Linked DNA regions of Bombyx mori. The protein of the gene in region 1 purifies or fractionates together with the protein of each later gene. This does not show direct contact. Links are inferred from orthologs where the notes say so. Each region holds a gene or a part of one and is shown in the gene's direction. Other genes may lie near its edges. The genes, in order: paxillin, rho guanine nucleotide exchange factor 7 and integrin-linked protein kinase.

Region 1 (3,658 bases):
GTTAAATAAAAAAGAAATAGAGTAGATACAAAATCGATTTTAAAATAAAAGTTTCAATGTGAATTCGCTATCTCCTCCTCCCTGAGTCACGTTCCTCATGTCTAAGGGTCGTGACCATCTCCAGTTATTCTTCTCTGGATGATGTTTGGACATCTTCCTCTGTTCTCAGCGGTGTGTATGGCATCGTAGACTGTGGTATCCAGAGTGGTGCGGATTTGGTCGGACCAACGCATTGGATTGCGGTTACGAGATTTTTTCCCTGCAATCTTGCCATCCATTCATCCTTCTTTCTTACCATCCATCCTTACCATCAATTTTTCAAGATTGTCACCGCTCTTTCTGGCAATGTCACCGAAGAACTTCAACTCTATCTACTAAATTCGAATCAACGACGATATCTATCCTAAAACTAAGATATCGTCTTTTCGATTGTCTTCTCAAATTGATTTTGTCGAAACATCTATACTAATATTATAAAGCTGAAGAGTTTGTTTGTTTGAACGCGCTAATCTCAGGAACTACTTACTGGTCCGATTTGAAAAATTATTTCAGTGTCAAATAGCTCATTTATTGAGGAAGGCTATAGGCTACATAACATCACGCTAAAACCAATAGGACTAATAGGACCAAGCGGAGCACCAATAAAGTATGTTTCAAAATCGGGGTATTTTTCCCTTTTGAGAGCTTACGCTATATGTGGATATACGCCAAAGTAACTATTCCACGCAGACGAAATCGCGGGAAAAAGCTATCATTAATATGTATGTTCATAAAAGCTTGTTAAAACGTTGCGAAGGTAAATGATCATTGGCCAAGAACAAAGAGCGACTCGTGAACTACATTTCCGTTCGCTAATTAGTATTTACGGGTTATGTTCAACAGTGCCACCTGTTCTAATACATTTGTCATAATCTTTATTTTATTATTTAATTTAATTGTACTCATCAGAAGCTGTAAGGAAAATAGAAGCGGACGGGGTATGGGTTTTAGTAACATAACATTGTGGGATAGCTCAAAGTAAAATAACACGGTTTTTGGAAAAGTAACAAAATATATATATATTTTTTGCACACGTCTTTGTTATTCACCTTATAATGCCAGATCGCCATCTCTCTTTACATCTCTCTTCCGTCCGTTTCTTACCCATGCGTTCATCCTTTTCACTCTAAACGTTCCGTATCCCGCATCATCGTTATCACCAAAGCCAGATTCTCATTCAACTATAGACGGATTATTCCTCTAAAATGGATTAATTATTCCAACTAGGCAGCGGCCTGGCTGTGTCTCAAACATTGTTGACGGCCATGATCAACAGTAGATCCTCTCCATCAAGTGGCCATATGCTCACGTCACGATGATATCAATCTTTCTCTTATCCTCGTATTACGAATTGATATATTGTATACGACTGCAACACGGAATATCCGAAGGGTGAATGTAAAATTCTGAATCAATATAAATCATCACATGTTGACATCCTATTTAGTGATATGTTATCGATGACTAGTGAATACGAACATACTGAAAGGTACCACAATCTAATTTAGTTAGATTCTAACACAATCGTGCTTCCTATAGAATAAAAATAAAATAAAAATCTCAATCTCATGGTTAAAGGACGCATCGCCAAATAATAGCAGAAAGCAAAATGTTCAGTAAAAATAAAATTATAAATCTTTTTAACTAAGGAATTAAATATATTAGTATCAATTTTTTCCTTTTCACGCATCGTCATCCGATACTAAGCTATGTTCAAAATCCTCCCCCGGATCCACTCTCGGTGCTTTTAGTCCCCTCAAGCAGCGGTCACTGTCTTCGTCGAACTCGTCTTTTTTTTCCTACCTAAGCTTTTCCTACCTAAGCCTTGAGCGGCTATGTCAGCGTAACTCTAATGTGTATGTAGGTGAGCTCTCAGGGTTCAAACCAGGAGGTGTTGCTAAAACTGGCCCTAGCAAGAGCAGTTCTTCGCAGTATCTACCACCGGATCGGAAACACAACCCACTGAGAAGATCCAACGAGACACTCAGTGAGTGGGCTGTGTCATGGGTTAGTTTACTCGCCGAACCCTTCGTCGCCAGCGACGGGTTCGACGAGAACGGTGACCGTGCTTGTGGTACCTAAAAGCACCGTTAGTGGATCGGGTGGATCCGAAATTATGTGCTTAGGGCGACGTCGGCTGTTTATCATTCGGTCCGCAGGATCGGGTATGTCGAACTCGTCGACGAGCGAACACAGCCCACTGAGTTTCTCGCCGGATCTTCTCAGTGGGTCGCGTTTCCGATCCGGTGGTAGATTCTGCGAAGCACTGCTCTTGCTAGAGAGCTAGTGTTGGCAAATTCTCTCAAGTTGAGCTCGTGAGCTCACCTACTTTCCCGGCGTAGCTGGAATGGTCAGCCCCTTAGGCTATCAGCGATCAAGTATTTAGCTCGTTAAGGTTCATAAAATCAATAACCATCCGTACATACAGGGTATATGACACAGATAACGTGGGGGGGTTATCTGTGGGATATGATCACAAGTTTCTAAGATAACATTTTGTACGTTCGCAAAGTTTTTAAATAGTTTATAGTACATTTAAAAAATACGTTCGAAGTGAATACGCAAAATAATCTCGTTTGCGCATCCATTAAATTAACAGTAATTAATTTGTGAGTACCGGGTCCGTTCTCGCGTAGGTTGTAATAGTAAATAAGTCTATTGAATAAAACTCCCGAAATATATATAGGTGTATATATTATGTATATATGTGATAATTTCGAACAGGAAATAGTTGTTCCCGCGGTTTCGCCCACGTTGAATTGAGAATGAAGATTTTTTTATCATTGTTTTTTTATTGATACGACTTCGTTTTGGCAAATTATTTGTTGTTTACTACAGTTACTGTATAGAGAAACTAATCGTAAGATAAAGTATGATTGAAATGGAGACAGTGGCTTTTGCGTTGTTCTCAAACAAAGAGACAGAGAAAGAAACTATAATTTCAGGCTAAGATCATTTACACCATTTTCCTAAGAAACTGTAACAAAGCTCAAATATTCACATATTAGTTTACAAAATAGTCATGTTAGATTAGGATAGGTTAAATTAGACATGTTAGACGGTAGGCAGCGGCTTGACTCTGCCGCTGGTATTGCCGAAGTCCATGGGCGACGGTAACCATTCACCATCAGGTGGGTCGCATGTTCCTCTGACTAAAGGGGCAATAAAAAAAAGGTGCTAAATCAAAATCTTAAATTAAATTATTTAATTTCGATCATCTGATTATTTAAAAGTTAGAAATCATCGAGCAACAAGTAAAAGTCGATCGCGCTTTTGAAATGTAACAAGAAACCGACCACATGTCTAAAATAAAAAATAATTTCAATTTCCTCTCAATAATTGTCGCCAGCCGCCAATCCACATCTCCAATACCACCGCCATCGACGGGAGGAACTCTCCCCAGACCGGGCACCAAACAGGTGACCGTCACCGTGCAGGAGACGGTCGTAGAACCCGCTCAGGCTCAGCAACAGATTCCAGTGGCGGCCCCTGTAGTCCGGCACCAGCACCACGCGTCCAGCGCCACCAAGGAACTTGATGACTTGATGGCGTCGCTCTCCGACTTCAAGGTGAGAGACATCTGTGTGTGTATTCATCCGAAAATATATTTAATCGATCT
Region 2 (3,658 bases), on another chromosome or scaffold:
CAAACCATTGTACATGCAAATTACCTAATACAGCTGGATTATTCTATTTTTTTCCTATGATTCAGAGTGCTTGTGCGGCATTGCGACGTCAAAAGGAGTTAGAATTACAAGTTATAACCGGAGAAGTTCGTGGCTGGCCCGGGGGTGAACTAGCCTCATTGGGTGACGTGTTACATATGGGCAGCGTGGCAGTGGGCCCGTCCCATCAGGACCGCTACCTTGTACTCTTCCCATCAGCGCTGTTATTACTTTCAGTTAGCAAAAGAGTATCTGCATTTGTGTATGAGGTAATATTTAGTTAATAGCTTTAACTACAGAGTTCAAAGTCGTAAATCATTTTAATTATGACAACCGGATGGTCTAATTTAAAAGATTTGAAAGAGAAGAGTGTTTTCTGATGCCTGTTATGTTTTCTGCTGCTTACAAATAAAGAAATTATTAAATTGACGTGAAATGTAAACTTTTTTAGGGATGTCTTCCACTGACAGGCATCACAGTGTGTAAATTAGATGATACTGAAACAAGAAAAAATGCATTTGAAATTAGTGGTCCCATGATAGACACTATAGTGGCAGTGTGCCAAACAAAAGCTGAGGCTGACAATTGGGTCAGTTTGTTACAAAAGCATTCTAACACGAACAGTCCAACACACGAGCCTGGACAACCGCAGTCATTACCTCATGTAAGTTACAATTCCACATTTTCCATAATACTATATTAGAGTAATTTTTTTAAACACATGCAATGGCACCACTTCCATTTTCTTTACTATGTGTGCCGAAACCATGTTTCCGAGACGTACATAAGTACAGTCAGACTCAAAATTTAAATATTTTCGACAAAGAAATTTACTATACCCGAGAATCGAAAGCAGACCCCGTGATACAGCTGTCAGGGTTGCTGCACCGTCGACGCGTTAATTTCACTATTGATGTTGATTTTGTATTTTTAATTTAATCGTAAGATAATAGACATTAAAAAACAATTATAGTACATTACCTTTCCTCTTGAAAAAGATATATACTTATTTTGTGATATTGTTACTAGCTGACCCGCTCTCCTTCTGAAGGAGCGTTGTCTAGTATCAACTCTAGCCGCCGAAGTCTTTATCACGTGACGCTACCACCTCCCAGCTACCCTTCTGCATCTCCATATTATTCATTAACGAAATATTTTGCGAGACTTGTTAAGAAAAAAGTTATAACAAAACAAATGTTGCGTAAACTATTGCACGAAAGAACATGGGCGAAAGCGTTCGAATTGTCAGGCTTGCCTATTAGGAGGAGACACAAAAATCAAATTAGGCTAAAAATTGAAAACGACGGCACCATCGGAACTGAAACAGAATATTCGGATAGCGACGATAGCGACAGAGAAGGCAACACTAGCTCGAATTGTACGGATGCCGAAGCAGCAGGCTGTTTGAAGGTACTGAGGCAGGATGCTATGGACAGTCCCAGAACAATCTCCTCTTCGTACAGTAGTTGGGGTAGTAATATGGGCTACGTGCGGTATTTCGATAACAATTCAGATATGCATTTAGAAGAATCACAAAATCTATCGAATTTGACATTAAAGGGAGATTGCACCAAAGATTTGTTTCAAGCGATGTATGGTTTTAATGAAATAAACAGTGAAAGTGATCGAAACCTGGATTATGATATAGTTAATGCACAAAATGTATTTGGAGGGTTTCCTGATTTACAAGAATATGAACCACATTCCGAAAGAATTGAAAATTCAAGCTTCGAAGCTCGACCTTACATGGCTTGTGAAGATTTAGTGAATATGGATCAAAATACACAAATAGAGACGCTAGGAAACGATGACAAAGATTTTTTACCAACAAGGCGAAGCTATCCCAACTGCAGCGTAAAGGTCGACACGTTGCCAAAACAATGGAAATCGACAGAAGAGAACTACACTACTAGAGACAGCGGTGGATCCTTAACATCCAACTTATTACAAGTTTTAGATCCGCCCTCACCAAAGCGATGCAGCCATGACATTGATTCCCTCATAATAGATCCTCCTCCAATGTTTCGAAATGAAGATGATATGAAAGTTATTAACGTAAATCTGAACACAAATGTTCCATTTCGGAAACATTCGCTAAATTCTGATAAAAAAATCCGACGTTCTATGTCAAGATCTATGGTGGAGACAGAAAGTAACAGTAATAAAGATGACGGAAATCGGGTACAGAGAATGAGTTCACAATCAGATAATGATAAAATCCACAAGAAGTGTGAGTGCTGTAATAGATCCTTGTGTCCTAGTCCAAGATCCTCAGATTCAGGTGTTGTGGGTAGTTGCACCCTAACATCACCAGACATGCACGATTATGCCAGCTCAGGCAATACAGGAAATGATTCCGATCATAACGAAAAGATACCTGATCGGAATAACATGAGAACACCAGAAGAGGCTCGTGACACAAGAGGTCTCCGAAGGAAACTGACACTGTCAGATATAGAGGCCGCTACTTTTGAAGATCAATGTCGGTGTACATCTCCGTTCGGTTCCACGGCTAGAACCTCTTGCGTTACGAGTGTGACTTCGGAGAACAGCTTAGACGTAACTGATACATCGAATACCCATCTAAAGTCAACGTTTGCCGCCACACCTCCCGTACCGACTTCACAAATCAAAAGAACGTCTATAAGGAGGAACATTGAACGTTATGTACCAGAGATTAAACTGAAACCGGAGCCGCCGCCGAGAGTATACCGAAAGCCTAGCACTCATTTGGAGGTCCCTAAGAATGTTCGGCAACACTTACCTTGCCAATGGGGTACCTTGAATATTACCGAGCGTTCTAAGCCTAGTCTTCACTATCACATGCGTATATACAAAGATACTTCGGAAAACGTTAACGATAGAAAATCGCGTGTCAACACACCGCGGAATCGCGACATATTTTGCAACGATAAGAAACAAGATAGCAATGCCGATTTCGAACAAGTGCGAAAAACAAGGTCTCGCAGCGAAGATCTGTCGAAATTGCAGAAGGGCTTAGCTGAAGGGCAGAGCGGTTTCGTGGTGTATCGTTCAGATTTGTACGCTCACTGGTGGATGAAGGCAAAATTACCGATAACCGTGGTCACCGACTCAGGCAAGGATTATTCTTTTGTAAAGAGATACTGTTTGTGTATCACTGGTTTGAAGATAATATTGCCTTGAAGTTTGCAACCATTAGATTAATGCTGTTATTAGAGTTACCCCATCGATGGAGTGCTTTACTTGATCATCCTTGCCTGTGTTTATTCATATTACTAACTAAAAAGAGATCACTGCAAGTAGATATCATATGTTTAATTGTACTAACAACAAAATCCGATACGTGATGCATGGAAAGGCTTGCATACCTTGTACTTCCCATGAATTGGAGATAAAAACCAAAGAGATATAAATCAAATTTGATTTTTTCACTTATTTTAAATGTCTTAAATCTAAAAAAAATTTTGATGTTAATACATTGTTATTCAAATGCTGTTCAAATTTCAATTCTGTGTTTGTTTACGAGATAAAAATACAGAAACGGACAAAAACGATACTGGATGTTTAATGTCTGAATATTCTGCCGCTCAATACAATATACTCGACTAAGAATGTAATGACAGTAATTTTCTTTACAGATGGCCACGAGCGAGAATAA
Region 3 (4,205 bases), on another chromosome or scaffold:
CTGAACATGGGCAGAGAACAAATGAGGTGGACCGACGACCTGGTCAAAATAGCTGGCAAGGACTGAATGTGAAAAGCAAGAGACCAAAAAGAATGGAATGCATTTGAAGAGACATACACTCAGCATTGGGAAGACACTTGAAGATGATGATGTGTTTCAAAGTGGAATGTTAGACTGAATATTGATTGTATTCTAAAAAAATCTTGAAACAGTCAAAGCTTGAAGAACATTTAAATTAGTGTTATTTTTACAAAGATGCAGTAGACGTCATACAAGTAGTAGGTGTATATTCTGTGGACTGGGAACGAATGAAGTGAAGTGGACTTTTTGGCGGGAACGCGAGGAGTGAAGTTGTGTGATTTGTTTTATTTTGTCTATTTAATATTTCTTCAGGTTTTAATTTGTAATTACCAGTGGTCGGAGTAGGTAGATTGATTTTTTATACTTTCGTCAAGATATTATAATATCGACATGCCATTTTATCCATAATGATTATTTTTTTAAATTGAAAAAAAATGTTTAATACTCATCGGATAAAATTTCTATATTTATGAGATAACAAAAACCCTGTCTAAGTTTTGTCTCATACTGACAAGCGTCATTTCTAATTCAACAGAAAGGGACAAAATACGGTGTAACTATTCCAAGGCGTTTTTGCATAAAATAAAATACTAATTTCTTTCACCATTAGCTAGCACTGGTAGCGTAGATTAATATTATTAATACATTTTTCACCTTAAACACAGATTCACGCTAATTTCAAAATTCCGGAACAAATATCACAATAAATATGAAGTTCCGGTATTTTGGAGGCATATCCATATTATCCTCTACGTTTGAAGTCAACGACCTTAAATCGATCTACCTAGTCCGACCTCTAGTAATAACGGTGATTTATTAACTGTTTAATATCTGTGAAAGTGCACAAACGTGGGAAAATAAAACAAAGCTACTGGACGTGATTTCTCGGGATCCTCCAAAAAGTCCAATGAAAAAATCTTAGTAAATGACCACAATTTTACTGAGATTATATTTCATCCCATATCATCACATCTCATATCATTTAATTTCATCACAGTTGATTAATGTCTCAAATTAATCGTCGTCATTTCATTTCACTCCATATTATAATTTTTCATAAAAATAAGAATATAAATTAAAATAAGACTTGACTTAAAAGTTTCAGTTACCAGGTCATAAAAACTCTTTAAAAAAAAATAAAAAAAAATGTAATCACAGAATTCACAGATAACATATTTACAATTTATAATATTATGTTAAATTAAAAATATTGGAACAGTACATAATTTTTCTTTAATTTCAACGTTTAAATTACATTCTTTACCTAAATTAACCGTTTAGTTAATAGTTTAAAAAAAATCGTGTCCGTTGTTTAAAGCGATTTAAGAAATGGAAGATATATTTCAATGGTGTAGAGAAGGAAATGCTTTGCAAGTAAGAGTTTGGCTCGATGATACCGAACATGATATGAATCAAGGGTGAGTTTAAAGTGTTTTAGGTTTTTTTAGTCCTTAAAGTTTTTGCTACGACCAGATGGTCAAGATATGTTGTCACGCCCACAGCGGAGTGTACAAACACGTCAGCTCCCACAAAAATATCATAAGTATGTAACAGCTATGAGGTCATTTATATACTGTTCGACAAATTAGCATCTAAATTATCAAGAAAAACTACAATTGCAGGAATTTGAAAAGTAATTTCAAATAAACTACAAAACATTATGTGCAAAAAACTTCCTAATTAAATGAATTGTACAAATGAGAGATCTTCAAATGAAAAAACGATTTTACGATTATGCAGTCTTCTACCTGAATGTAGATCTAATCAAAGATCAATTTAAAATTGCTCCTCATTATGTGCACATATAGTATATTAACATGGATTTTCTATTCTAATTAAAGTTTTATATTTCCTCTTATTTCTGCTGCATGAGTCACAACAGTCCTATACCTTTAGTTAACACAACAATTTTCCTGTTCCTATGTTATTGCTGCTTAGTTTTTTATTGTATAGGTGGGTGAATGTGCAAGTGACCCAATTAGTTTTGTTTAGCCTTCAAATTGTAATGTGTAACTGCTCTATAGCATAAACTTGTTTTTTTAATATTCCAAATATTAGTGTTATTTACAAAACTTAATTGATTTTATTAGTATTATTACCAATACAGTATAAAATAAAAATAATATTTTTTCAAAAAAACAAATTGAAAATTTAAATGGAAAACATTTTGCATACTTATGTGTGTGTTAGAACTCATTCTTGCAATAGGTCTTTGATATTTTACAAATAAAAATAGGCTGTATTATTCACTAAAAACACTTCATCACTTTATTATTATTATTTATGACTTAATGCATTCAACATAACTCAAGAAAAATGTTTCATAATATCCAAGTATATTTAATTTTGAAACTATTTCCAAAAGTGAAATCATCCTATTGGCTATTTATTATTCATATATCTATGATTAATAATTATAATGAGAAAATAATTCTAGCGATGATCATGGCTTCAGTCCACTTCATTGGGCTTGCAAAGAAGGGCACCTTAAGATTGTAGAAATGCTGATTAAGCGTGGAGCAAGAATTAACGTGACTAATATGGGAGATGATACACCTCTGCATCTGTCAGCTGCCCATGGTCACAGACCTGTTGTGCAATTGGTAATTTCTCATGAATATTATTTATGCATGTTTAATCTGATTGATCAAGGAGCCTTTTTTTATTTTTATTGCTTAGATGGGTGGACGAGCTCACAGCACACCTGGTGTTAAGTGGTTACTGGAGCCCATAGACATCTACAATGTAAATGCGCCACCCACCTTGAGATATAAGTTCTAAGGTCTCGGTATAGTTACAACGGCTATCCCACCCTACAAACCGAAACGCATTCGTGCTCTTCGTCTCTTTGGGTTTACTCTATCCGCTATCAATATTATGTTTTGTATTTTATTTCTTTTCGTGTTATTTTCTAAATTTAAGGAATATTGCATGGCTCATTAGGTGATGAAACTGAACTGCTTGGCTCTATCAAATCTCATAATGGAGGTGACATCTATAACAAATACATTTCAATTAAATTGTTTTTGTAAAAAATATTATTATTTGTACTGTTTCTATAACTTAAAAATAATCCGAAACAAAGTATGATTGGCGCATGCAATTCATGATATTCATTTAAATTTATTTTCAGCTTTTACAAAACAGAGTAGATGTGAATTTCACAAATGAGCATGGGAACTCGCCACTTCATTATGCTTGCTTCTGGGGCTACAATGCTATAGCTGAAGATCTAGTCCTTGCTGGTGCTCTTGTTTCAATAGCGAACAAGTATGGTGATACACCTCTAGACAAAACGAGAGGTCAACTTGTACAAAGGTAAAGAGTTTTTTAAGGATTCAATTTTATGTTTTGTTTCATATAATTTTCTTTATTAGACCAAGTTTTCTTTAAAACTATCTAGCCTCCTGAGTTTCTCTCGGGATTTTCTCAGCGGAACTGACTCTGAGTTGTTAGACTCTCATTAGAGGCCCTCAGGCAGTTGTTAGCAAACCATTCCCTTTCAGATGAAGCCAAGAGATTACATTAAAGTCGTTGTGGCTTAAAGGATAAGAGGTCCGGTGCATATGTAGCGATGCATCGATGTTCGAATCTCGCCAGCGGGTACGAATTTTTTTAATGAAATACGTACTTTAAAATGTTCACGATTGACTTGGTGAAGGAACAACATCGTGCAATATAAATCAAACCTGCAAAATTATAATTTGCGTAATTACTGGTGGTAGGACGTCTTGTGAGTCCGCACGGGTAGGTACCATCACTCTGCCTATTTCTGCCGTGAAGCGATAATGCGTTTCGGTTTGAAGGGCGGGGCAGCCGTTGTACTGTTAAAAGTGAAGCCTTACAACTCATGTCTCAAGGTCATGTCCTGTCATTGTTAAATGAAAAAGGGCCCGGACAAGGACAAGCGCTTCATTAAAAAAAATGTCAATAAAAACCTTTTAATACCACAGGTACTATATTGTAATCTATACTAATATATAAATTTATAGTGGTTTTTACGGATGTTCCGTTATAACTACTGAACCATGCATCTGATTGACTTGGTATCCATGTAGAAAATACATGTACTTAATGAATAGGCTAATATTTATATGAGTGTTGCACTCCCTACACCACGGCGT

What was found.
Region 2: the proteins of paxillin (region 1) and rho guanine nucleotide exchange factor 7 purify together in Homo sapiens (affinity purification with mass spectrometry; 3 studies listed by BioGRID and IntAct, with this or other methods). This does not show direct contact. The link is inferred for Bombyx mori from reciprocal best matches to the Homo sapiens genes PXN and ARHGEF7.
Region 3: the proteins of paxillin (region 1) and integrin-linked protein kinase purify together in Homo sapiens (affinity purification with mass spectrometry; 4 studies listed by BioGRID and IntAct, with this or other methods). This does not show direct contact. The link is inferred for Bombyx mori from reciprocal best matches to the Homo sapiens genes PXN and ILK.

The regions. Positions count from the first base shown.
Region 1 is NC_085116.1:14,677,609-14,681,266, forward strand, and holds part of paxillin, read left to right. Parts: intron 1-3,388; coding exon 3,389-3,608; intron 3,609-3,658. UniProt on the Homo sapiens protein: Cytoskeletal protein involved in actin-membrane attachment at sites of cell adhesion to the extracellular matrix (focal adhesion). Recruits other proteins such as TRIM15 to focal adhesion.
Region 2 is NC_085110.1:9,314,658-9,318,315, reverse strand, and holds part of rho guanine nucleotide exchange factor 7, read left to right. Parts: intron 1-65; coding exon 66-287; intron 288-469; coding exon 470-682; intron 683-3,638; coding exon 3,639-3,658. UniProt on the Homo sapiens protein: Acts as a RAC1 guanine nucleotide exchange factor (GEF) and can induce membrane ruffling. Functions in cell migration, attachment and cell spreading. Promotes targeting of RAC1 to focal adhesions. May function as a positive regulator of apoptosis.
Region 3 is NC_085117.1:15,202,049-15,206,253, reverse strand, and holds the start of integrin-linked protein kinase, read left to right. Parts: upstream 1-1,355; 5' UTR 1,356-1,410; coding exon 1,411-1,499; intron 1,500-2,518; coding exon 2,519-2,684; intron 2,685-3,214; coding exon 3,215-3,399; intron 3,400-4,205. UniProt on the Homo sapiens protein: Scaffold protein which mediates protein-protein interactions during a range of cellular events including focal adhesion assembly, cell adhesion and cell migration.